2 linked regions of the Styela clava genome follow. The protein of the gene in region 1 interacts with the protein of each later gene in a pairwise test. Links are inferred from orthologs where the notes say so. Each region holds a gene or a part of one and is shown in the gene's direction. Other genes may lie near its edges.

The links.
Region 2: the proteins of BTB/POZ domain-containing protein KCTD9-like (region 1) and protein N-terminal glutamine amidohydrolase-like interact in binary tests that used the Homo sapiens proteins (3 or more experiments, as listed by UniProt). The link is inferred for Styela clava from reciprocal best matches to the Homo sapiens genes KCTD9 and NTAQ1.

What each region holds. Positions count from the first base shown.
Region 1 is NC_135251.1:23,488,509-23,500,662, reverse strand, and holds the start of BTB/POZ domain-containing protein KCTD9-like, read left to right. Parts: upstream 1-5,793; 5' UTR 5,794-5,924; coding exon 5,925-5,972; intron 5,973-7,011; coding exon 7,012-7,133; intron 7,134-8,018; coding exon 8,019-8,071; intron 8,072-8,579; coding exon 8,580-8,655; intron 8,656-9,804; coding exon 9,805-9,863; intron 9,864-11,630; coding exon 11,631-11,759; intron 11,760-12,154. UniProt on the Homo sapiens protein: Substrate-specific adapter of a BCR (BTB-CUL3-RBX1) E3 ubiquitin-protein ligase complex, which mediates the ubiquitination of target proteins, leading to their degradation by the proteasome.
Region 2 is NC_135262.1:9,682,451-9,695,045, forward strand, and holds the start of protein N-terminal glutamine amidohydrolase-like, read left to right. Parts: upstream 1-7,215; 5' UTR 7,216-7,365; coding exon 7,366-7,424; intron 7,425-7,893; coding exon 7,894-8,085; intron 8,086-8,778; coding exon 8,779-8,937; intron 8,938-9,462; coding exon 9,463-9,643; 3' UTR 9,644-10,953; intron 10,954-11,098; 3' UTR 11,099-11,253; intron 11,254-11,318; 3' UTR 11,319-11,464; intron 11,465-11,699; 3' UTR 11,700-12,595. Other genes in the region: very long chain fatty acid elongase 4-like, read left to right, coding at 571-651, 1,104-1,275, 1,975-2,102, 2,613-2,771; NADPH:adrenodoxin oxidoreductase, mitochondrial-like, read left to right, coding at 5,625-7,079. UniProt on the Homo sapiens protein: Mediates the side-chain deamidation of N-terminal glutamine residues to glutamate, an important step in N-end rule pathway of protein degradation.

The sequences.
Region 1 (12,154 bases):
CTTTCAAACGACTGAAATCACACTGGATCGGAAATTTAGTGAGGCATGGATTATATTATAGCACCAAAATGCTTTTAGAAATAATTTAATTCAAGTAGGATATGCCAAGAGCTTTTTTGCTGTCTCATTAATGAAACAATCGAATGCAATCATATCTTCTCAACAGTATTGACGTTATGGCAAATACTGACGCTTTTTGCAAAGATTATTGAAGTTACGGTGAAATGCTATTTAAAAATTTAACGACTGGCGCTTTTTAATAGCTGTTAAATAAATATATAGGCAAGGTCCTAAGTGCCTCGGGCCCCCAAATGGCATCCATATGATTAATCACTTTGAATACGTTACATTGGCAAATTGGAGTTTATATACAACCTTTTATCTAAATATTTTACCGAGCTTCCACGTGGACCCAGAAGGAGGTGTCGATTTATCCACTCGTTAGCCTTTGTCGATGGGGTCCTGTCGCGCTCCAGAAAATTCTGAAACGCCCTATGCCCATATATAGTAGAGTGTATATCAAAGAATGCATAAAAATATAAATATAGCACATTCGATGGGAAAATAAAACATTTTTACAATTTCAATAATAAACATTAAAAATAGCGTGCATTATAAATTATATTTTAGCAATAATGTTATCACAAAATGTATTGTCACTAAACTATGGAGGGCGATCTGCAACATAAATTCTATAATTACATCAATAGTTACTGTTACCAATCATCGTGGTTTTCAAAAATTGAATAGACACACGGGTATATACTACATGGAAATGTTTAATTTTTAGTGCCAAATAAATTGAAAACATAGGAAGCACGGAGCGCGATTATGCAAAAATTGGCAAAAGGCATAACCTATTGTAGAGACAGTTTATTACGGGAAAATTCTTCATTTTTAGTTTAAATAAGTTGTAACTATTTTAGGCAACGAAATGGGTCTTCATCAATAACGATAGCATCGATACATAAAACTAATATTGTCACTGAATATTTGTCACCGTTCAAATTTTAGTACATTTGAATTTGTTGCGAAAACGAAAACATTACTGTATATCAGAGATATACCAAATCAGATAAAAGAATGCAACCAGTCAGGGTTTGATTGAATTTATATCAAACTTGAAATGGAGATGAGATAATCATTACAACTCACAAAATTAACAAATTAATTGATGACAAACAATACAGATATAGTAGTACAAGATAGTTTCACAAAGCATAAATGTAATATATATTCATTGATCCAATTATTAGGTTACAAATTTTAATTCTTATTGGCTCGGAACCCCCCAATTTATACAATTAAAAAGACAAAATAATACAAGAACAGTAAAATATTAGTAATCAGGTACATTTTGCTCACCTGAATGCCGTTCGAAATTAGCGATATCGTCCCGTAGCCATAGTTTGCGACGAATTAACACACATGCCATCACGCACCTCGAAGACTGTTTGAGCGATGTACAGCGCTATGTTGGCTTCCCGCGAACAGTAATTAGTGACACAAACTAATCAACGATAATTAATTATCAATCTCCCGATGAGAAAATCTTTTCGGTTGACAGATGAATCAGATGACATTTTCTCCATGCCAATTTTGATCGTTTAATGTCTAGTTTGCACCATTTTCTCCTTCAAATCGAAAGTAAGGGTCATAACATTGCATTAATATTGATTCCGTTTCTTTTCGTAACTTTCAACCGATTTATACAGACAAATACAGGCTGACAAAAACAATTGCTGATGACTAGGATAGGATGGGATTTACATATTTATCCCGGGGAAGAGGAACCACGACCTCTCGCCCGGTTACCATTCCATGTCGGGTATGGGATTAGTTAGTTATTTGTTTTCGGAAGCATGAACTTGATGTTAGAGCAGTGGTTCCTTAAACTGGGGCGCGCGCACAAGATGGAATCGGAAATTTACATGTAACGGCTCCTGAAACGGTCTCCGCGTTCGTTAAAAATACCAGCTTTTTCGTGTTATAATAAATTTTTCTGTTTCGTAATAACTACAATAATTCAAAATGTCTCTCTATTTTAATTCATTTGTGTTCAAAGTAACTCACGGTTGCGGCGACTCACGACAAAATAAACTCATTACCTATCTAAAATACCACGCCAATCCGCGGACATAATAAAGTGTGATCAACTGCCCGATTATATTTAGTTTTTATATATATTGCACTCATGCAAATTCGTTGTCGTCATTAGAAAGATCTGGTATAATATCCCAGAAAGTATATTTAATTTAGTACAATTAAAATACATGTAAAGTATATTAGTAGATGAAATATACATATTCATCGAAACGAAATCCCCGCGGTACGGCTTCTGAGTCAGTCCACGAGATTACGCCAGTCATTAAAAGAGCCGACTTTTTCAACGGATATGTAATGGTTTTTCTGTTGAATAAAATATTCAATTCATGATTGAATTGATATACTCATTTAAAATGGTTGCTTTTTTCATTTAATTGTGATAAATTAAATTTGCGATTGCGTCGATAAAATAAAAGCACCAGTACTCCAAAATAACACGGTAATCCACAACCATAAAAATGTCGATTACATTTTGTTTTGATTTGTATTCTTGCCAATTTCACCAATATGAGCTGTCCCTGCAACTCTTGATCCGCTCTATCGCAATGCCGCCACTCGATTAATTTCAAGATATCATCGTTACAGATATTCCTAAGTCTGCGATCCCACGGAGTAAAATTTATATCAAGTCTGTAGTTTTAGAACACTACTGGTGTGCAGCACGCACAAAGAGTTTGCTTGTTTAGTTTTACTTAATAATTAGTTCGACTTTGCCAAGTATTGCAAACTGAGCGGAAAAACGAGAATGTATGACGACCAACCACTATTTGGCTTTATACATACGACAGTGAATGGTGAAGTTGTACTCCGAAGCGTTTTATGCCGAAACAATCTGAGCAATGACGCTATGAGACCAACACTCAGTTATAGCGCCATCTTAATATATAGCAACCTGCCTATCACAAGAGCATTTTTTCAAAGCAAAAATAGGGGGGGGGGCGCGAAGTTTGTAAATTTTTTTAAAGCGGGGCGCGGCTCAAAAAGTTTAAGAACCACTGTGTTAGAGGAAGCTGTAACTAACCAACCACCATACGGCGGCGAGGAGTCCAGCAATCTTCTCGCACATAACCATCCCCGCTTGGGATTCGAACCTGCGAACCCACGCAGAGTAATCAGAGGTGCGGCGGCGAGCGTATTCCTAACGCTTAGCACGATGAGCCACACCGCCGCGCCACTTCGTGTTAATCGAACATTACGAACATTAGTTAAGCGAACAGTCGACAAGATTTACCAAAGCCTGCCCAGTAGAGTACCTTTGCATGGGTTGCGTGGGGATACTAGTTATCACTTCGAAAAGAGTGATAAAAGATTCAACATCGCGACGTGTTTTCAGACGCACCTAAAGATTTCGACAAAATTCTATTCAATCGGTATTATCGCGACTGTTTGAAATGCTTGTGACGAGAAGATCAGCTGCTTTGAAATAGGTTTTTACCAGACACCTCTACTTCGATTATCATGGTATCCCTTATCAAAGTTTTCTGAAAAACATGACCATCGTTGTCTTGCGTTCGAGGAGAATGCTTAGGCGCACTCTGTCTTCTGTCACTGAAAAAATAAGGCGATATATGTACGTACAATGTTTTGTTACGATGACTGTTATTTTATTTTAATTGACCAACAAATAAATCTTCCTCTGTCTCTACTCAAGTTCAAATGTAATTAGAAAGTGGATTGCATAGAAGGGGACATCTGAGGGGATAGGCCTACTCAATATATGTAGTGAATGCATTCAATCGTAAATGTATACTACTACGATTCAATACTATACAGTAATCAATAATCAGTAGTTTATTTCTCATCATACTTGAAATAGGCACAAACATACAAATTGCGATAAATTAAATTATAAATAGGCCATATTTCAGGGTGAAGGAGACGCGAGAAACCAATACTGGTTATCGAGCAGCGGCACCCATAAAATAAGTCAAACACTAAAGTATAAAGGTTGTTATACGGTTGTTATCTATTCATCTGATAACCCCACGTGTTGACAAATAACGCCACTATGTAGCATAAAAGCATATAGAAATAATAGAATACTATAGAAAACACCGCATATAGAGTAGAGATGTACCGATGTATCGGTATCGGGTATCGGTATCGGCAATATCGGCCATTTTTACGGTATCGGCCATGTATCGGTATCGGTGAGATTAAGGCCGATATTTCCGATATATTTACCTTTTTGATATGGTCCAGAATGTTTTAAAGATAAGTTGGAATACTACTTTTTAATTTATTTTTTGTCTGGAGAGATCGTGAGCTATGAGCCATACATGTCGCCACCCCCGCGAGAGAATAGGATTCACGTGTATTTTTATCAGCCAAATTAGCTCAACTAATTTGGCTATTTTCGCTGTCAAATTTTTATATTGAAATTTTTAATATTACATAGTAATTATGAAGAAATATATCAACACGGCACATAACAAAAAGCAATTAGACGCCCAGTTTTAAATCATACAGTGGAATTGGGGTCCTTATTAACGGCACATGGACTTTTGGCACGGGTATAAATTTTGACTGTTTGTCGTCAAGTACGAGTGTCATTCAGTCCGTCGACATCAATAAACTAAATTCCGACACAATTATCCCTCTACGCAGGTATATATAGATATATTGACATGACCGCCTAGCCCTAGACTATAACAAAATATATGATAGCAATTGTATAATATTATAAAATAGTAAAGTAAAAAAATGTCCTCGACGGTTATAGGTAGGCCTTCTTTTGGTCGGTGCTGATTGATATTCTTTCATGTTGGCTTTGACTTACTTATTGCGTCGACGATTACGATTAGCGACGAAATGAAATATTTGAAAAATGCTTTTAATTTGATCTTAGGACGGCGGCTCTAGAATGTGTGGGTGATATTCGATATTCTTTTAAACACGAATAACGATTTTTGAAGGTCGCGATATTAACATTAAATTCATATTGGACATCCCGGCTTATGAGTTTCAATTGAACACCGAGATTACTAGCGTTACTATACAATGTATCTTAATCAGTTAAAGCATATGGATACCAATCATTAATTTCATATTATGCGACATATATATCTTTTTTTTCGATCTGAAATATTGTGTACTATGAACAACGCTCAGAGACCATTGTTTTAACCCGTCTGCTCTACACAACACACCTAATCAAGTAATATTTACATAGTATCGGTATCGGAATATCGGTAATATCGGCCTTTTTGTAGTATCGGCGTATCGGTATCGGTATCGGCGTTTTTAGCTGGTATCGGATCGGTATCGGTATCGGCGACAAAAGTGGTATCGGTGCATCTCTAATATAGAGACCCATCTTAATTTCCGTTTTCTCAAAATCCTTCTCTAATATATGTTTCATCATACATTTGAGCAAAATAATTTTGCTGTGACTTTATTTTCGGTAATTCATTTATTAATCTCAAAGTAATTTTTTTGAGGCTATCAACTTCTCTCTTTGTATTTTGTACATGATGTTCCCAAAGTGCCTTTGCTGTGGATTTTTTTCGCTAAATCATTCATTGTTCTCAAAATTATTTTTTCGATTTATTTAACTTTTCCCTTTGTATTCTGTACATGTTTCCAAATTGTCTTTACTCCCAAAATACTAACTGACTGACTCTTTGACTTTCAGTTCCACCTAGTGACTGCTGCAATAAATAAACATTTCATGTCAATGGCGGGGAAACCCCACATTTACACTTGACAAGGTCTTCCTTGCTTTTTGTTGTGTTTTGTCATAGCCTATTCCTTGATTATTGCATTCATTTTTCTGTTTTTTTCGAGCCAGGGAGTAGAATATATAGACACCTGCTAAAATGAAGAGGGTGCAAGTATTTGAAGACGAAACTGGAAAACACGGGAAGGTAGGTTTTTCCTGTGTACGTTATCTAGCTTATGAAATATTAAAAATAGACTATCTAATACTGTAACACCGGTATAGTAATAATTTCTATCCACTGATTTAAGCTAAGTGAATAGAATGATGGGTTTTAGTGTAGTTTCGTAACTAAAGTACTTCTAGTGCTGTAGTGGGCGTAGCATAACAATTTTTGCATATGTTAATCATAACCTCCACCTGGCCGCGCCATTCAAAAATTACATCACTACGACGTGACAGTGACGTAATAGAGCCCTTCAAACTATGCAAACTGTGATCCAAGACGCGCAGACGAGCATCCGAAATCGAAAAGCTATTTCCCTCGTTTTCTTGTTGCAACGATCTCAATACGAGAGAGATCGCTGACGTTAGTCAGTTCTTTAACGTCGGCGCAGTTGCCATTTTGGGCAGTGACGCCGTAGTCTGGTAGTGACATAATTTTTGGATGATCCGTTCAGGAAGGGGGGGGGGGGAATAACATATCTAAGAACCGACATGCCAAGCCCACTAGAAGTAATTGTGGGACAAAACAACACAAGTCTCGGCTGTGTGGCGCATCGTGCTAAGCGTTAGGAATAGGCTCGCCACCGCATCACTGATTGCCCTTTGTGGGATCGCAGGTTTGAATCCCATGCAGGGATGATCATGTGCGAGAGGATTGCTGAACTCCTCGCCGCCGTAGGGTGGTTCACGTAACCGCTGGTCGGTTACGGCTTCCTCCACCATCAAGTCCATGCTTCCGAAAACAAATGACTGGCTAACTAATCCTATACCCGAACTGGACTGGTAACCGGACGAGAGGCCGTGGTTCGCCATATGATTAGGCCGGCTTATCGGTTTTCCTCTTCCCCGGGATAAATATGTATATACTATCCTATCCCCAAAATCTATTTCACATATTTCACTCACTTTACAGCTTCATAAGCATTGTAAAATCAAATACTTAAAAGTTGCATCAAGGTTTTGTTTTTGACACAGAAAATTTAAGTCATTGGGAAGTTGTAATGAAAATCTTCTTTTCAAAGGTTTTTGCAGTTCCTAGAAGAATAGAAGAATTATATTCATCAATATGTAAAGTGTTTGGTGTTTCCATCAGTACTCTATACACAGGAGAAGGTGCTGAACTGGATGATGTGAATCTGATAAGGTAAGCTTAAAGCTTGACGGTTGCAACTCCATGCATAAACGAAACTTGGTCAGAGGTCCTGCGTTCATTTCAAACCCTGAACAACTGGATGTTTCCATGAGTCTATGACGTTATAACTGCGAACATCATAAAGAAGGAGTTCATGAGCACAGAATACATGCTTTGGTAAATTTTATACTGATTGAGAAGCTTGTACGTTCTGTAATTTGACAGCATAGTTTAGCGATATTTGATAGAATAGACAGAGTGATCATGTGGAAGTCACTGCTCTACTTTGCCTTGTGGAACATTAGAACTGTATAGGATATCAAAAAGATAGCAGCAAATTTTGAATTAAATTGAATTGTCTGCTTTTGAATTGCATACTTTTGTTGTAATTACATTCATTTTATCCTGTTTTTAGATTTTGACATTTTAGATTGATTTTGAAAGTTCACAAGTCCGCAAAATTATTTTTAAAATTTTACTGGTCCGCAAAGTAAAAATATAAAGAATCACTGGTTTAAACTATATACTCTGTGCTACTATTACATGAAGTTTACTACAGCATTTTTCATTTCTAAGGAATCATATTTATTTCTTACCTCAACCAGGGTAGGTGACATATGACAGTAGACCTAAGGCTATAGTAGCCTAGAGTGTATGATTCATTTGAATAAACTAAGTTTGAAGTCAAAATTAACTCCTAAAGGTTTGTTACTAATCATCTCCCACTGTAATAAGAGGATATGGCTGCAAAACAAATTGTATGAATTTAGTTTTTGTTGATTTTGCTATAAAATATAATAGTAAGATTTCAGTTTTTATTTCACCAAAATTTATGTCTTACTATGCCTTCAAATTTTTTGGTCCGATACGCCTCCAACATATTTATTCTTATCACAGAGATAATGAGCCACTGTATATATTCAAGCCTACTGAAAAAGTTTCAGAACAAGGTAGTATGAGTAGTATTTATTTTTTATTATCAAAGTTTACTGACAAGATTGATTGGCTGGATTTATTTTTATTCATATTTTTTATGACCTCGGAAATACTGTGATAAATTGATTTCTGTTCATAAAGTAGTCTCCAATTTTTTGTTATTATTCAGTTTAATTCTATAATATATTATGTATTGTTTATTCTAATTTCTTGTTATACATTGTTTCGGAAATGTAATAAAATCCCAAAATTGCAATGAATGTTCTTTTTTTATTATTTGCTTATTTATTTATTATTTCATGTAAGTTGTAGCATTGATCTAGAACTTGAAAATGCAAATGTGCTGAAAGGTTTGATATAATTTTCTTCTAATTCATTTCATGTTGAAAGTACCAAGTCATTATATTATTGTCAAACTTTCTACTCTAATCGCATTTCTTCATTTGTTTCAATTTTATATTTTTACCTATTTTCTTTGTGAGGCATCGCTGGCCAAATTTGTAATTTTTATTTACATTTTAGAGCACTCACAAAACCCCGATAATCAGAGTGACTGGATTAGTCTCAACGTTGGTGGGAAGAAATTCTGTACAACAAGGTTGATATTTATCTGTTTTAATAGTTTCTCACAATTAAGAATAGGTATTTCATTGATATATAATTTGCTATCGGGGGTTTACTGTGAAAGTGGCAAATTTCAGAGAAAAAACAGCAATTTTACCACAGATTTTCACAAAAAGTCACAAAAAGTCAACCTGGATGATTGTGCTTTATTGGAAGGATTTTCAATGAATTGTGTACCTGAAACCTAAATTTGTTTCAACCAAACTCAAGTGATAACATCTCATTTGTATATTTCTATTTTATTTAATTATTGATCAAATATTGTAACTATAATGGTATTGTGAAGTGGGGATTTTGTTATTTCACAATGTCAACCTTGATTAAACATGACATCTGACTTTTTTAACTGGCTACACTCAAGCGTCCTAATTATATAAACAGGATAGGATAGGATTTACATATTCATCCTGGGGAAGAGGTAACCCGATAAGCGGTTACGTGAACCACCCTATGGTAGCGAAGAGGCCAGCATTCTCTTGCATATAAATATCCTTGCGTGAGATTCCAACTTGCGAACCCACGAAGAGTAATCAGAGGTGCGGTGGCGAGCGTATTTCTAACGCTTAGCACAATGAGCCACACCGCTGCGCAGGACGCTATATACAAATAGCATGTATGGAATTCGAACAGAAATTTTCCCAGTATCAACAGAAACTTATTGGAATAAGTGGCAATTCTATATCTATTTCGATAAAGTAGAGTTTGGTATTAGAAAATGCATAATAATAAATGTATCAATTTCATCACATCTACATCTTTGGATATACAGGCAAAAATGTTAGAAATAAAAATTTTTGGTATTCTTATCAAAAAGCAGGTATAACTTGGTGATAGGTTATGACTAACTCATTAATGCGTTACCATGTTAAAAATTAATCAATTTGCGATGAATATTCATTCCATTTATGATATCTATATCATAATCAACAGCCCAGTCTTTGTAGAAGTAACGTCAACTTATTTATTCACATGTTTTTTCAAAATACACTATCCCCTGTACATTATCTCAAGTGCTGTATTGTTTCGCTTCTATTTTGCTGAGTATATAGCGATATAATATTTCAATTGATGTAATGTGTAGATAGATATAAGTAATTTTGTGATTTCTTTGTTTTTATTTTAGGAGTACATTAGTAGCAATGGAACCAGAAAGCATGCTGGCAAAGATGTTCCGAGATGAAAGTGAGTAGCTAGATAGATAGTAGATATCATAAAAATATTCTTTTAATAAAAGTTGAGATGAACATGGGATGTCTATGAAGTGTAATTCTATATTGAAAATGCTAAAGATTAATGATTCAGACTGTTGGTATTGCCAAACCAGAAAGATTCTGGTCCTTTCAAAACGTAGTACCTCCTCACATATCACCGGGTGAAAGGCCTGTAAAAATGTTATATGAGACAGTTTGCAGTGTAATTGTGATATTATCTAATTTTTGTTAGTTGAATATATCTTTAGTTGTCATTCAGCACTGAAAAGAGTTATAGAAACCTAATATAAAAATATTAATCATATGAGGAATTTGTATTACAAGACATATGTCCATGTTGAGCTGATGTACATATACTGGATTCATTTTGTTTGCAGCATGTTTCTGGTCATATCAAAAATAAAATGATCAACCTAGATTTTTTTACCAAACTCGGGGTACTACCAAATTACTATTTTAAGAGCAAGGAAGTTCCTTGTTCTGTATACGGTACATTCTGTCACACTCTGAAATATGTGTCATATCATGTTATCATAATACATCCTGTCCAATATATAGGTGAATGTAGCAAGCTGTTTATGAATAAGTACTATTTTCTTTTAACAAGTCCCGAATGTATAATTGTCATTGCTGTCCGCATCATCGAGGCTGTATGTATGATTGCTAGGTTGGAGTTATGCAACTCGTTGAATATTTCAGATTACGTTCTGTTACCTTGCATGACAAAGATTCCCAAAGTTTACAAACTATACATTTACATGTAATACAGGTCATGAAATTGGAAAGAAAATTTGAATTTATTAACATTAAGTTATGAAAAGGAATAGCTTTGCAACACATTCACACTTTCACACTAAATTTGACACATGCGTTGGTTTTTGTGCACGTTTTTGTGCACGTGCAAGTCATGCTTTAGTTACAAGTCAGTATTTTTGCATTAATTTTAACAGTTTTTATTATTTTAGGAAATAGTTTTTAACGAAATTGATTGATTTTGGGGTTGCAATCGAATATATTGCGACGAACTAGTTTGTTACAGCGTACAGATTGGGAACCACTGTCTTGTTATGCCCCCCTTGGTTTGTGTGAGTGGTTGCGGAGTTGCGGGGAAATAATCCACTTTATCCCTTGGGATCTTGTGCCAAATCATCTCCAATCTGAATTCTTACTATGGTTTAATAAATAGTTTATCTCCTACTTATATTTGACTGAAAATCGACTTTGGTTCTTGAATTCAGGAATTTTGATTACAAAAACTTTATCGACATTATGGTAGACCCTCTTGTATTTCAATTACTCCAAGACAGTCCAAGATGATGATTCTGACTGTTTATTCTGGTGAGCCCATAAATATGATCCAAAAAATCTCACAAGCACACAATTAATTCAGTCCAAATTGATGTTCAGGTGATGCTAATGAGCATTATAATTTATAATAATATATAAATTTAAACTTTCATTCACAAATTTGAATTATTATCAGCGTCCCATCTGTAGTGCTTAGCGCAAAGAAGATCCTGAAACATTTATCGCATTTACGGTCTATTAGGTGTTTTCGAGTACACAGAAACTCACCTCTAGGTGGTGCAATTGAGCAATGTAAGAATACTTTGACAATTTGGATCTACAAAATATTGTGCTGTGGTTCTTATTATAAATGTTTATTGTGTCCTTCTGAAGCACTGGTCTTTGAATCTCTAGAACATATGTAAAACAAAATAAAACAATATTTTTTCAGGTCAATGGAACAACACTCGAGACAGCAGTGGGGCCTACCTTCTTGATCGAACTCCTGAATATTTCGAAGTTATTCTCGGTTATTTAAGGCATGGTCAACTCATTATTGATCCAAATATTAATCCTCAAGGTAATAATCTTGTATTTTTTATGTTTATCTTATTTTATAAATTGTTTATTTATCAGAAATTTTGTACCGATTGGGGACGTTTGCTTATATTTATTTTATAATCACAATGTAGTAGCACGCTTTTTCAGTCCTATTTTTTTTGCGTTTTGAATGTTCATGACCTTGTTTCTGTAAACGAGAATCGTTTTGTTTATAACAAACTGTGATGGCAATACTACAATGATAACATAATCTCTTTACACTAAATCATACATTTGAGGTTTGGTATAAATTAATTACCGCTGGTCACCTATTTTATGTATTAAGACTCAAATTATGTTGTGTGATTTTACACATAAAACCACTACCCACGTAGTGAGCAGAATGAGCGGAGCCTTAGTGATATATTTCAAAGG
Region 2 (12,595 bases), on another chromosome or scaffold:
ATAATATTTTGGCATCTTTATATTACTGGATTATTGATTTTAAAACCATTTAAACCGATTTACATTGGTGAGCAATTGCAAATTTTCGGCGTGCAAAATTGATTTCGCTCGCGTGCATTTTTGCGGAGCGCTAGCGCCCTCGGGCGTGCACCTGCCATGGAATCCAGTCTGGGAGGTATGTAGCATATCATAATGCAAATATACCCCTTTTTTTACATGAATATATACTAATACTCTTGCTTAGGCAAAATAAGATAAGAGAAATTGTCTAATGAAATGATAGCTCCCCTATTTGTTACCAGACCAGGTAGTATATCTAAATAGGTCATTAATTGTCAGTTTTGTAATGAAAAGCAGTTGCAATTCTATTTCATATCATCTTCCTCTATTGGATTCAAGGCTGCAGTTCCAAACCTAGTCCAGAAGTCATTCTGTCATTAGTGTTGTGATATTATTTAATTTTCTAACAGTAATACAGGAGTCAGATGTCAACTGTATTGTTTGATTTATTTATTTAGAGCAAATAAGTGCTGAATGCTTGAACACTTCCAATTTCTGTTTTTTTTTTAGTTTCTGGTTACGAGCATCCTCTCAGGATACAGCGTGATATGTCAGCCAGTTGATTATTCGGACAATCCTTTAGCGATTCGTGTGAGTTTTTTATTGATTGCTCATATTAGAATACTAAAGATGTAACAGTATTTTATACTGTGCTTTGCAATTCTGTTATCAGTTGATTTAGGAAGCAGATTTTCGCCTATTTTTGGCAGCTAAATATCTTACCATTTTACATATTATGTCATTAATAAGCCTATTGTCAAAAATATATAGCCTACAAGGCTACATGTATTAATTGAAACATATACAACTTTTGAGCAATGTTTTTTATTAAATTCCAATGCTAACCTCATGCTACGTCACTTCCACAACAGCAGACAGTCAAGCTAAGTGACTCTGTGATGGTTAGGTCAATTTTCAGTGAATTTTCATAATCAGTATTGATGGCATGAAAAGGCCAAATTGCAATTGCAATCTTGTCACCTGACAAGGCATTCTTATATCAGAACATATAATTTCGATGATTATTATTAATTTTGTTTCAGATGGCCAAAGTATGCTGGTGGTATTTTTTCTCAAAGTACATAGAGCTTGCAGACACTATCTTCTTCATATTGAGAAAAAAATTTAATCAAGTTTCATTTCTGCATGTTTATCATCATGCAACTATGCTGATAAACTGGTGGCTAGCTATTAAATATGTAGCTGGTGGAAATTGTAAGTTAAATTAATACCTTTTTTATCATCTTTCATTTTTTTTTTCTTCAATGTTGATATCCAAATAGTATCCCAGTGAAAAAAATCATCTTTATCTAGAGCAGGAGTCCTTCTTTTGGTGTTATGGAGCCTATGAGGCGGTTGACGTTCATTTGCGGAGCCTCACAATAAATTCATAAAATAAAAGCAAACAAATAAATTTCTACTCAATTAATGTTCCCGATTGAATTGATGTTACTTTATTTAATGACGCCGATGCATTCGTTGTTATTGCTTCTTTGGACAGGCTCCGGATTCTGTGAAAAAAACCTGGGGGCTCCGATAGGTATTGATTCACTTTAAAAATACTGACTAATTTTGTAACTGTCCAAAGAAGCAGTAACGGCATTATTTAAATTTGACAACCGTAATTTGAATATTTTGTAAATACATCGCATCAGGTTCATCCCAGTCATTAAATAAAGTAATTTTAATTTACTCATGAACTTCAATCTGTAAGTAACAATGTGTTTGTTTTCATTTTTATAAATTTATTTTGGAGATCCATAACATCAAGAGTTTGAGAACCCCTTATCTAGAAGATCGTCAGAGTGATGATCAAGGTGGTAATTTCAATTTGGGAGACTTGTGTTGGATACCTTGATTTTTAACCCTCATTTGAACTATTCTTGTTATTTGTATTATTCACTTTATTTTCAGCTTTCCTCATCGGTGTTATCAATTCATTTATCCATGTTATAATGTATTCATACTATGGAATAGCAGCCATTGGACCTCATATGCAGAAATATCTCTGGTGGAAGAAATATCTCACAAAATTACAATTGGTATTGTATTAGAATTAGATGATATTAGTAATTTTGTTAACCGAATGAAGATTTGTTGTAGAATAGTGCTCCAACAATTCAAGTTCGTAAATAATATATTAGGAAGCTTTTAAATTCAGGAATGGTATGTGAAAATTAAATATTTTAGATTATTTAATAATGTGTTATGTGGCAGATAATATTTTTTGAATTAATAAATCTATATTGAGTACTCCTTAAGTATGCGCACCAAGATATGGCACAACCTGAACCCTAACCTGGTACACAACCTGAGTTCAGGTTGTGCGCCATCTTGGTGCGCATACTTCAGGAGGTCCTTATATTGTGATATTGTTGGTGTAAGTTTGGCTTTGGATATTTAGAAATATTTATTTTCATATGGTTAAGTAATCTTAAATTTGTCGGCACATTATTTGAATTATTTAAATAAATAGCAATGTACAATATTAAATTATTACATTTTACTTATCCTTTTCTCATTTTATCTATCGCCATGCTTTATCATTCCAGATCCAATTCTTCATCATGCTAGTGCATAGTGCAAATATACTTCTTGGCGACTGTGATTTTCCGAAGTGGATTAGTGGTCTTGTTGTCGGATATCAAGTCACACTCATCTTATTATTTGGAAAATTTTACTTCGATAGTTATCGAAGGAAAAAAGATTGATTCTAATTATTTTAGAGAACCAAATTACAATTCCAGAAAATATTGAACTGTATTATTCAAATTGTAGGAAATTATCAAAATCTTCATTTTCGAACCCCTGTGTTATTCTAATTTCTGTGGTAGGCTATTGTTTGATTACATTGGATTTTGTATTATTCATACTGAAAATTATTACCAGTGTTTTAATTTGTTGTTTAGGCTTCTACTGTTTGCATATGATAATTTACAGTGTTATATTATTAAATTACTTACTTTTACAAAATTGGACCAAAACTCTGGTAAAGTGTTTTAACAATTATATCTAATGTAACAATATATTTTTTATAATTGATTAAAATCAATTCAGTGGAATACTGATTGCCAAATTTTGATTTCAACTAAATTTTACAAATGAATGATATGTAGGTTATTACCTACGGGTAGTTTCATTTTGTGATTAAAAAAAAATTTAAATTTGCTGTGTTCCAGTCTTATTCATTTCAAATCCTATTTAATCTGCCTCCTTCAGCTATCTCCAAAATAATCTGAGACAGGTTTTCATTTTAAATAGCAAAAGTTATTTTTTCTAAACTAAAATATGCAGAAAACTTACTGTAATCTCACAGGTGTATAGTAATCAATCTTTTAAACTTTAGTCTTCCAAATAATGGTGCTAAGCATGATAATATAATATAGCAAATGCCAATTTTATCAATTTGAATAAATAAAAATATCTCCATTAAGTTCTTGTATAAAATTAGAAGACAAAATTCAGAATATCATGTATGTATGTATATATAAATATATAATAGCAAGTATAGCTAAAATTATCAGCGAAATTAACACTTATTCTGTTACTAAACTAGAGCAAATACTTAAAAAGTACATTCCTTCATAAAATAGCAAGTTTATATATTCATATATTTCATGTGTGCAACTATTTGGTTATCAAAATAAAATACCTGTATGCCATAAGTACCGGTACTCTTTATATTTTGAATGTGAAAAATATGCAGTTTGTACTTCTACTGTTATATTTTGAGCCAAATTCCATTTTCTCTTTTGTATGGTCATATTTACCCTTTTTACCCATATCAATATGTAGTCAGAATTCGAGATTTCATTCCATTACCATAAAAAAGTGTTTCTAGTTGTAAATTTTTGTTTAATTCCGCTGGATCGAATATTAAAAATTAAAATATAGGTTTTTTCACACTAGTCCTGTACCGGTTTGAATGTTATTAATAATGGTAAATGTGTTTTATAAGTTGGACACTATACAAATATAATATAACTGCTTACAGTAAATTTGAAATGGCTCTAAACATGCCATTCAAACTAACAAACGTAATGATTTTGAGAGTATATGAAAGAGATGTAAATCGAATAGTATTTTAAATCCAGTTGATTTTTATTATACAAACAATATGATTTTTGGAGTGAAAAATAAACTGAATTGAAACTAACAAAACTAATTTATGATATAGAAGTAAAATTCCTGGACGTAAGAATCCATAGTGTTACTTTTGTATTACAGTTTTTTTTTGCTTCAACTTGATCCCATAATGGGGGTATTCAGTCTCAATCGGAAAAGAAATAAAATTTACACCCTGAATGGCAAAATTTGAATACCGGTAGTTTTTTTTTTTCATTTTCAAGTATATATTTCCATTCCAAAAGCAATGCTTCTCTTTTGACTGGTTGTAATGTTGTTGACATGTGATTTATTTTATAAGATTTTAGTTAGTTAAAATGAGCTCGCCAACCATATCGACTGAATTTTTGGCTCTTGGCTACCATAAAATTTACTACTATTACCATGAATATCAGGTTGTAATGTTATTGAAATTCAAAGACATTCTTATATTGCTTCCTTTCTTTATGTGACATGAAACTTGACTTGGCTGAGTTTTCAAATAAATGCCTCCTAAGTTGATATACCACTGTTTTTTGAGCAAGATTTGATACAATTTTATAATATATGATTAACTGTTATTTTGTAGATTTTCTTGTAAAAATGTTACAAATGTTTCATATTAAACTTTGTTTTTAGGAACAGAATTTGAATTTATTGCCTTGAAGGTTTGTTTTCAAAATACTTGTACATAATAAAATGTTTCAAATTTTTTTGTTTCAAATTGTTTTACAGTTATTTCCTCATTATGATGATTTAAGTTAGTTTACACAATATCTATTTAAACAGTAGTAGATGATCTGTTCATAATGGATAATGAAAATACTGCTTTGGTCACCAGAAAACTTCTACACATGATCAAAAGCTTGTCTAAAGAAGTTGAGCTGTTGTATTTGAAAGAAAAGTTCCCATTTGCATTTGAGGGGAAACCAGTAGATACTGCAGAACACAAAGCCTTAACAATATGCCATTTTCTGAAGGAAAACCCAGGAATGTATAACGATGTATTGTTATCTTTGATGCAAGAAGAAAGTGGACTGAGCATACAGATTGAAAGAAAAGTCAAAAAATTACATGCATTGGTTTGACTAGAAATAAAAATGACTTCATTTTTTAATTAATAAATATCATTCAAATCCAATTCAAACTGTAGTTCCTGCAATTTAATACTGTGCTCAATGATTAAGTAAAGAACAGCCATCGAAATTTATATAGTAAGCAGAAAATAATTGCTTACTTCAATCGCAGTTTAGAACTTCCAACCATTTCGCTAGATGACCTCTGCCCGCCCAGGCTTGAGTCATGTGCTACAATCTTTTTGTTCGTCACTCTGTGATTCTGGCAATTGGATTTGAAATAGTATGTTTTGTTTCACAGTAAATATTGGTAGTAAATTGTAAAATTTATAGCATATTTGACTATAATTCAAAATTGAAGCAGAAATTCTTAACATAGTTTAAATGCTGGTATTATTGAAAAATCTTACTTTACGTGCTTCATCAACAAAATGTAGTGTTTTATTTCATCATTTTTCTCAAGCACATGGTCCTACTATCTGCATTGTTGGGAGTGGTCCTGCTGGGTTTGGAATATCTCAATATTTATTAAAGAATCATGACTTGTTGCGAATCAAGATGATTGAAAAATGCCCTATTCCGTATGGTTTGATAAGATATGGGGTTTCTCCTGATCATCAAGATGTAAAGAACTGCATCCATGGATATGAGAGAGTTGCAGAGAACCCTAGATTTTCTTTCTATGGGAATGTTGATGTTGGAAGCGATATAACACTAAGTGAATTACACCAAGTATCTGATGCTGTGGTCCTTTGCACTGGTGCACAAAAACTCTTACAGCTTGGAATTCCTGGAGAGGATCTACCCAATGTCTTTTCTGCAAAAGAATTTGTTGGCTGGTATAATGGTGTTCCACAATACAACCAGTTAAAGCCGGATTTATCTGGTTCAACTGCAGCAATCATTGGCGTCGGGAATGTGGCATTGGACTGTGCAAGAATGTTGCTTAAGCCACATGAAGAATTAAAAGACACTGATATTACTACAGAATCTTATGAGGCATTGAAAACAAGCAATATTAAAAATGTTATTTTAATAGGAAGACGTGGTCCACTTCAAATGACATGCACTCGAAAAGAGTTGTCTGAAATTACAGATATTGCGAATGTGACAACAATAGCAGATCAAAAATGTTTCACAGATGCTGTAAAAACAGCTTTGAAAATTAAAAACCTAAAATTGAGGAAAACACAAAGACTTGTGAAGCACTTGATGACATCAATGACTAATTCTGATTCTAAAGCAGACTCCGAAACCAATCAAAAATTTGTTGTTAAGCTTTTGCGATCCCCTGAACAAATTATTGAAAAAAATGGAGCAGTTTGTGGTGTAACATTGAAGAAAAATTTTATGACTGGTGAAGATGCGTTCAAGCCTGATATATCTTACACAAATGAGACCGAAAATATTGATTGTAGCTTGGTCATTTCAGCTATTGGATATGGGAATGAGACTATTGAAGAAACTATTCCTTTTATTGAAGACAAAATTATGAACAATGGAGGCAGGGTTGACCATGCACCTCCATTATATGCGTGTGGTTGGTGTAAAAACGGTGCAAAAGGCGTTCTTGCAGATACTTTAAATGACTGTTTGATAACCGGAAAAACTCTTTTAACCGACTTGAAAACTTGGGAACAAAAGTATGATAAAAATAAAGGAAAATTGGATGAATTTCTGGTACAAAAACAGATAAAATCATATTCTTGGGATGATTGGAGAATTATTGATAAATATGAAACAGATCAAGGCATAAAATTGGGTAAAGTAAGAGAAAAGGTGGTTCATGGAAAACAAATGTCTGAAATTATTAATGCTAAATCAAATGATGTATTGTGACATAAACATTTTTCTTTGTTGTAAAACCTTGTCAACTTGTTCTGATTACAATGTTGGAACAGTCTTCAATCATAGATCCGTTCATATTGTTTTTACATCAATAAAAAATCGATGAAGAGTCCCTAAATATGTATTTCATGTATATTGATCGGAAATTTAACTAGGTACCTTTTTCTCAGAGTTTTAGTCTTTTATACTATATATACATGACATGACTCAAAAAATGACCTGTATGTATCGAGAATAAAGGAGGGAAATGTCCGTTCCCTGAGAATCTCATCTTGTCATGAACATGTCATCAGAACTTCCAAACAGAGATGAATGCACGTACACAAAATGTTATTGGTAATATTTATGTTGTTCAAATTTGTCATGATATAGAAAAATATTTGTAGGAAATTGGTGTTTGGACAATTCATAAAGAAGGACACAGAATTAACCGAATACATACAATCATATTGTTATGAAAGCTTTGTCACAAGCAGTCACTAGAAGTTGTATACTTTCAACTTAATCTATCTAGAATTTTTTTTTTTCTTGGACCTCGCTATCATATAAATCTTTTCTTAAATGGGATTCCATATTTATTTTGTACTTCTTCAAAGCCAATAGGGAAATTGAAATTCACATTTCATGATAAATCATATTGTTTTCAGCTACTTTAAGATAAAACAAAAAAGTTTTCCAAATATAAGATTAAGGATGTTATATTGTTTAAATTTCATCCAACATAGAAATAATAGTTAATTCAGTTTCATAGACCGATATTGAATTGTGTCAAAAACAACTTCTTTTGTTTAATTCAATTTCACAGTGAAGAAAATGTGTGGAAACTATGCAAGTACATTGAAGATAGTGGAAAGATAGAACTCTTATCCAATTCATATGCAATATTCATTTCAAATCATTATCGCACAATTCCTTTGTGGAAACAAAAAGCGTCAAAACGAAGTGATACAATGGTGATGTGGGATTACCATGTCATCTTATTTGTTGAAAATGAAAGGTATTTCTATACTCCTTGTGACTCTTCATGTTAATTACCGTAGTAATTTCACTATACTTTGAAAAACTACTGACATTTGATTAATAGGGAGCGTGTTTATTTGGGAACTAAAGTGTCAATGTTCCTGACTCTTGTAAGAATCCTGCATCATTTACTAAACAACAGGGACCTCTTGCATTGAGCACATTTGAGAATACAATCTGCAAAATCAGAATAAGAAAATTCCAATTTATAAAACCCATAATAAAAATTATTGTCATTCGGCCAGTGGTAATTCTGATGAATTTTGCATAGTACTGTAATGGCATTCCATTTGCAGATTATTAACAATTATAAATCCAAACAATCACGCCAGATATGCATTGTAATTTTTGTAAACATTACATAAGGTGGAAAATTGTTAGAAACATTGCGTAACATGAGATTATGTACCGTAACTGATATATTAATCATTAACATATTATTTGGGTCTATCTAAATAGGGAAACCATGAAGCAGTTTAGTATTTTTTATACAAGTGATATATGTTAGTTCAGTATTGGTCATATGGCCTGGAATATTTCTATTAATGAACAGAACATGATAAATTCATTAGGCATGCCACTGATGCATTTTATCTATCTTTCTGTCGTTAATAATTAATATTCAACTAAAACAATTCTGGATATGCTTATTTTTGTTTTTGTTTTGTAGTCTTATATATGATCTTGACACAATGCTGGGATTTCCTTGTTCATTGGAGGAATATGCAACTGAAGCATTTAACTTTAATATGAAGCTCAAACCACAATTCGAAAGGTTGTTGAGAGTTGTTCCTGCAACTGAGTTTTTAAAAACTTTCGCATCTGATAGGTAAGAGTATAACTTATATTTATAGCGGAATTGCTATGTAGTCTGTGTGGCGCTCCCCAATTCTTGGTGCACAACCTGAACTCTAACCTGGTACAACTACTATGTTCAGGTTGTGCGCCGTCTTTGTGCATTGCTTGGTGCGACGAGAAGATTGCTGGACTTTGCGCCCTAACAGGGTAATCAGCATCTTTCTCCAAAAAGTTCTTGTGTTTGGGACTAATATTTGGTCATCAAATCATGTGCTTGACCCAGAATACAAGAACTTTTAACAAATTAAGAGTGATTCCACCTTATCACAAGCTACGTTGGTTCAATGTCCATATAGCAATGCATCTTTATGCTTAGGCATAATAACAATCTCACCAAAGTTTTGTGTCATTGCAAAGGCTGTAACGGAAAAGATCCCAAGGAGCGAGAAGGATAACCTAATCATTTAAAAAATCTGTTATGGCTTTGGAATCCTGCACTGGTTACATATAGCATTTTGGTTTAAACACGTTATGTATATCTAATTTTGCTCTGCAGAACTCATATGCTCACTGAAGATGGAGAATGGACGTCCCCTCCTCCTGATTATCCTCCTATTAGCTCTTCTTCATCGACCAACAACTTGCAGAGTTTTATCAGCATGACAAAATCAAGCGAACAGTTTGGAACAGTGCAAACATTGGAAGAGTTTATTAATAAATATATGTTGAAGGGTTGAGTCAGTTATTGAGTATGTTTTACTCACTGTCGGTTAGTTGAAGACGAGTCCTGGTCAATCCATTATGATGACCTTGATCACCTGAACCAGAGATGAAATTGCTGGTAATAGGTGGTTCCCCAGTCACTCACATGAAACTCTGATAACACAAGAGTGGTTTGCCTGAGGCGGTGAGAGCGTTGATCAGATTTGTCAATCCTGAGAACACAATGCGACTGCCTAAAACTAAAAAAATATTCACATATTCATCCCGTGGAGAAGAAAGTCGATAATACAGCTTAAACATATGTACATATATATAAAGGAAATAACTTTATCCCAAAATGCTGATCGTTCTATAATATTCCGATTTTTTTTTATCAAGATAGTAATATCCAACCCTTTCGTTAACTATAGAAATTTGATATAGATCTTTCACCACTGGCTCTGAATATTATTGAGTGGGGTGGTGAAGTGTTGTTTAGACCGTAAACGCCTTTACGTTGGGCTTTATTCTCTCTAAATAACAAATTTTCCACATATTGCGCCACGTTTACGATGATAAATAATCCATTTTTGTACTCGCACGGAATTGTGAATCTGACGAGAGTTATTATACGTTCATTGGCGGCGAGGTTCTAAAGACAAATGAAGGAGTGAATCCGCGGTGCAATTTTTTTTCGATTGAAAAGCGGCAATATAAAATACTGAACATAAAACCATGAACAATAATAAGTTTTGTTGGGGTCCGCGACAGTCTAAAAACGCTTTGCTACGCATTGAAAATCGCACACTGTGGCCGGCGTTTAAAAACATATCGTCACTAGAATCGAAACACGGTTAATTGTGAGCGGGATTTACCCTTTTTATCCATTACTTTAAATTGTCGTCGAAAATTTTATTGTTAATATTATACAAAGTTAGAAACGCGACTTTTTCCTGGGTTGTGATTATATATAAGATAATTAATCTAAAATATATTCAATCAATTTTTACTGTGCTGAAATAAATTTTACTCCGTGAGATTTTACAGCAGATCCACGGATTTTTCGAACGGTTTATCTTTAAAATAATCGGAGTGGCAGCATTGCGATTTAACGACATTTTGTAACATCGCATCCCTAGTTGCATCAAAAACCACGGAGCTTCTATGCTCAAAAAATTGAACAAATTTAATCATTTCAAAGGCTCCGTTGGCATCCTATTTAGTTGCAAATCGAATTTCCAAATTTAAAAAACCTCGTACAATTGCTGGAGAAATATCATTGATATTGTAAATGATTGCCTGTACATCCGCTGAAATGATGATCTATTGATTGAGCAACTCCAAGGTAAGGATTTGGGCTACAAATAGATTCTATATGTTATGTACGTTTTGCGAACTTCGGTGATAAAAGAGCTGCTGTGTTGCAAGACAATTTAAATTGTGATGTCAGGAAATCGATCTTTTTAAACTATTCAAAAATTTCATTACAGCCAACAAACTTGATTGAAAAAGTTGCACCAGCATATGCAAAGGTGCCAGAGCTGCACGTCTGGTCGTCTCACTGGTTTACGAAAACATGCGACAATGGAAAGCTGAACACACTGTATGCGACACCGGGAGGCATTTTGTGCATAGCATTGTTTAGGTAAAGTTTTAAAAACAACTCGCTAATTGAAAAGACAAATTATAATTACTTATCCTCATTTTCAGGCATGTTTGTAATCGGTTTAATCTTCACGATGAGATCTGAGAGTTACTTCCTCGGCATATTCGACATAATACTCAACTACATTTGGACTTGTTTCTGTCGCACTCTTCGAAACAATTGCAGTTGCTTGGGTCCTCAAACTAGAGAAGTGAGTGCTTTATATTTGAAACGAGATTTTTAAGCCAGGGGTGGCAACTGTTATTAATACAGGAGGGGGATATACAAAAAACTGGGCGAAACCGCAGGCCAAACTTTTATTTGACACAAACGTTCTAGGGAATATTTCTGATTTTCTATTATTCATGATGCAAGGATGCCTAGTTGCATAGGACTTACCGTGACATTATTGTAAAAATATAAACAGTCCACTTATTTTTTTCCAGCTCCGAAAATGACAGAGAGAATGATTCAATCAAATCTGGATTGTATTGGAAAATATCATGGGGATATACCTGCCCAATTATTATGGTCGTTATACTGATTGCAAGCTTCGTGGACATGTTCCTCAACCCTCCGAGTTACTACGCTTAGAACAAAGACATCGGCTCGAAAGACGAGTCAACTTATCTGCCATGGGGCGTGTTTATTATTGTTTTACAGATACTAAGCTCGATGTTCTGTATTCCGTTATTTGCGGGTCATGTACGTTCCCGAATTTTCAACCCGAAACGGATCAGTGCGAAATTTTGCGGGATAAATAAAAGAGCTGAACAGAATTATAATGATGAAATCAGAGTTACGGAATCTGCGACCCTGTTGAATTTAAATTATACGAACAAAGTTTGATTATCGATATTTATGATCCGCTAGGTAGCAGATTGGTCAAATATCGAGGTATCACTGTACTTGCTTTAATACTGTTTTTCATGAAAGCCCTAGCATGATAAGAACATCTGGTATAAACCTTCAAAAACCGGTGTTTTTCACAAAATTACACTATCTATGACAAAATTCTGTCAAAATCACAACATCCGCTTCCAACAGATTCGCCACCTCTGATTTATATACTGTGCTACCTTAAAATTAATTTATCCATCTTTTATTGTACAATTTTTTTTTGTATACACAATGTTTTGCCCTGTTTGAATTTGGTATTTATTGTTCTGTGTCTGCTTTCTATTAAAGCTTTTACTTATTTCACATTCAAATTTCTTGTTTTGTCTTGTTTTGATTGTTTTGAATGTTTTTTTTTTCTGTGATTGGCACACGATATTTATGCTAGTTTTTACTGATCCAAAAGTCGTTAGTATTTAAATCTGTACCAAATCATTTAAAACTT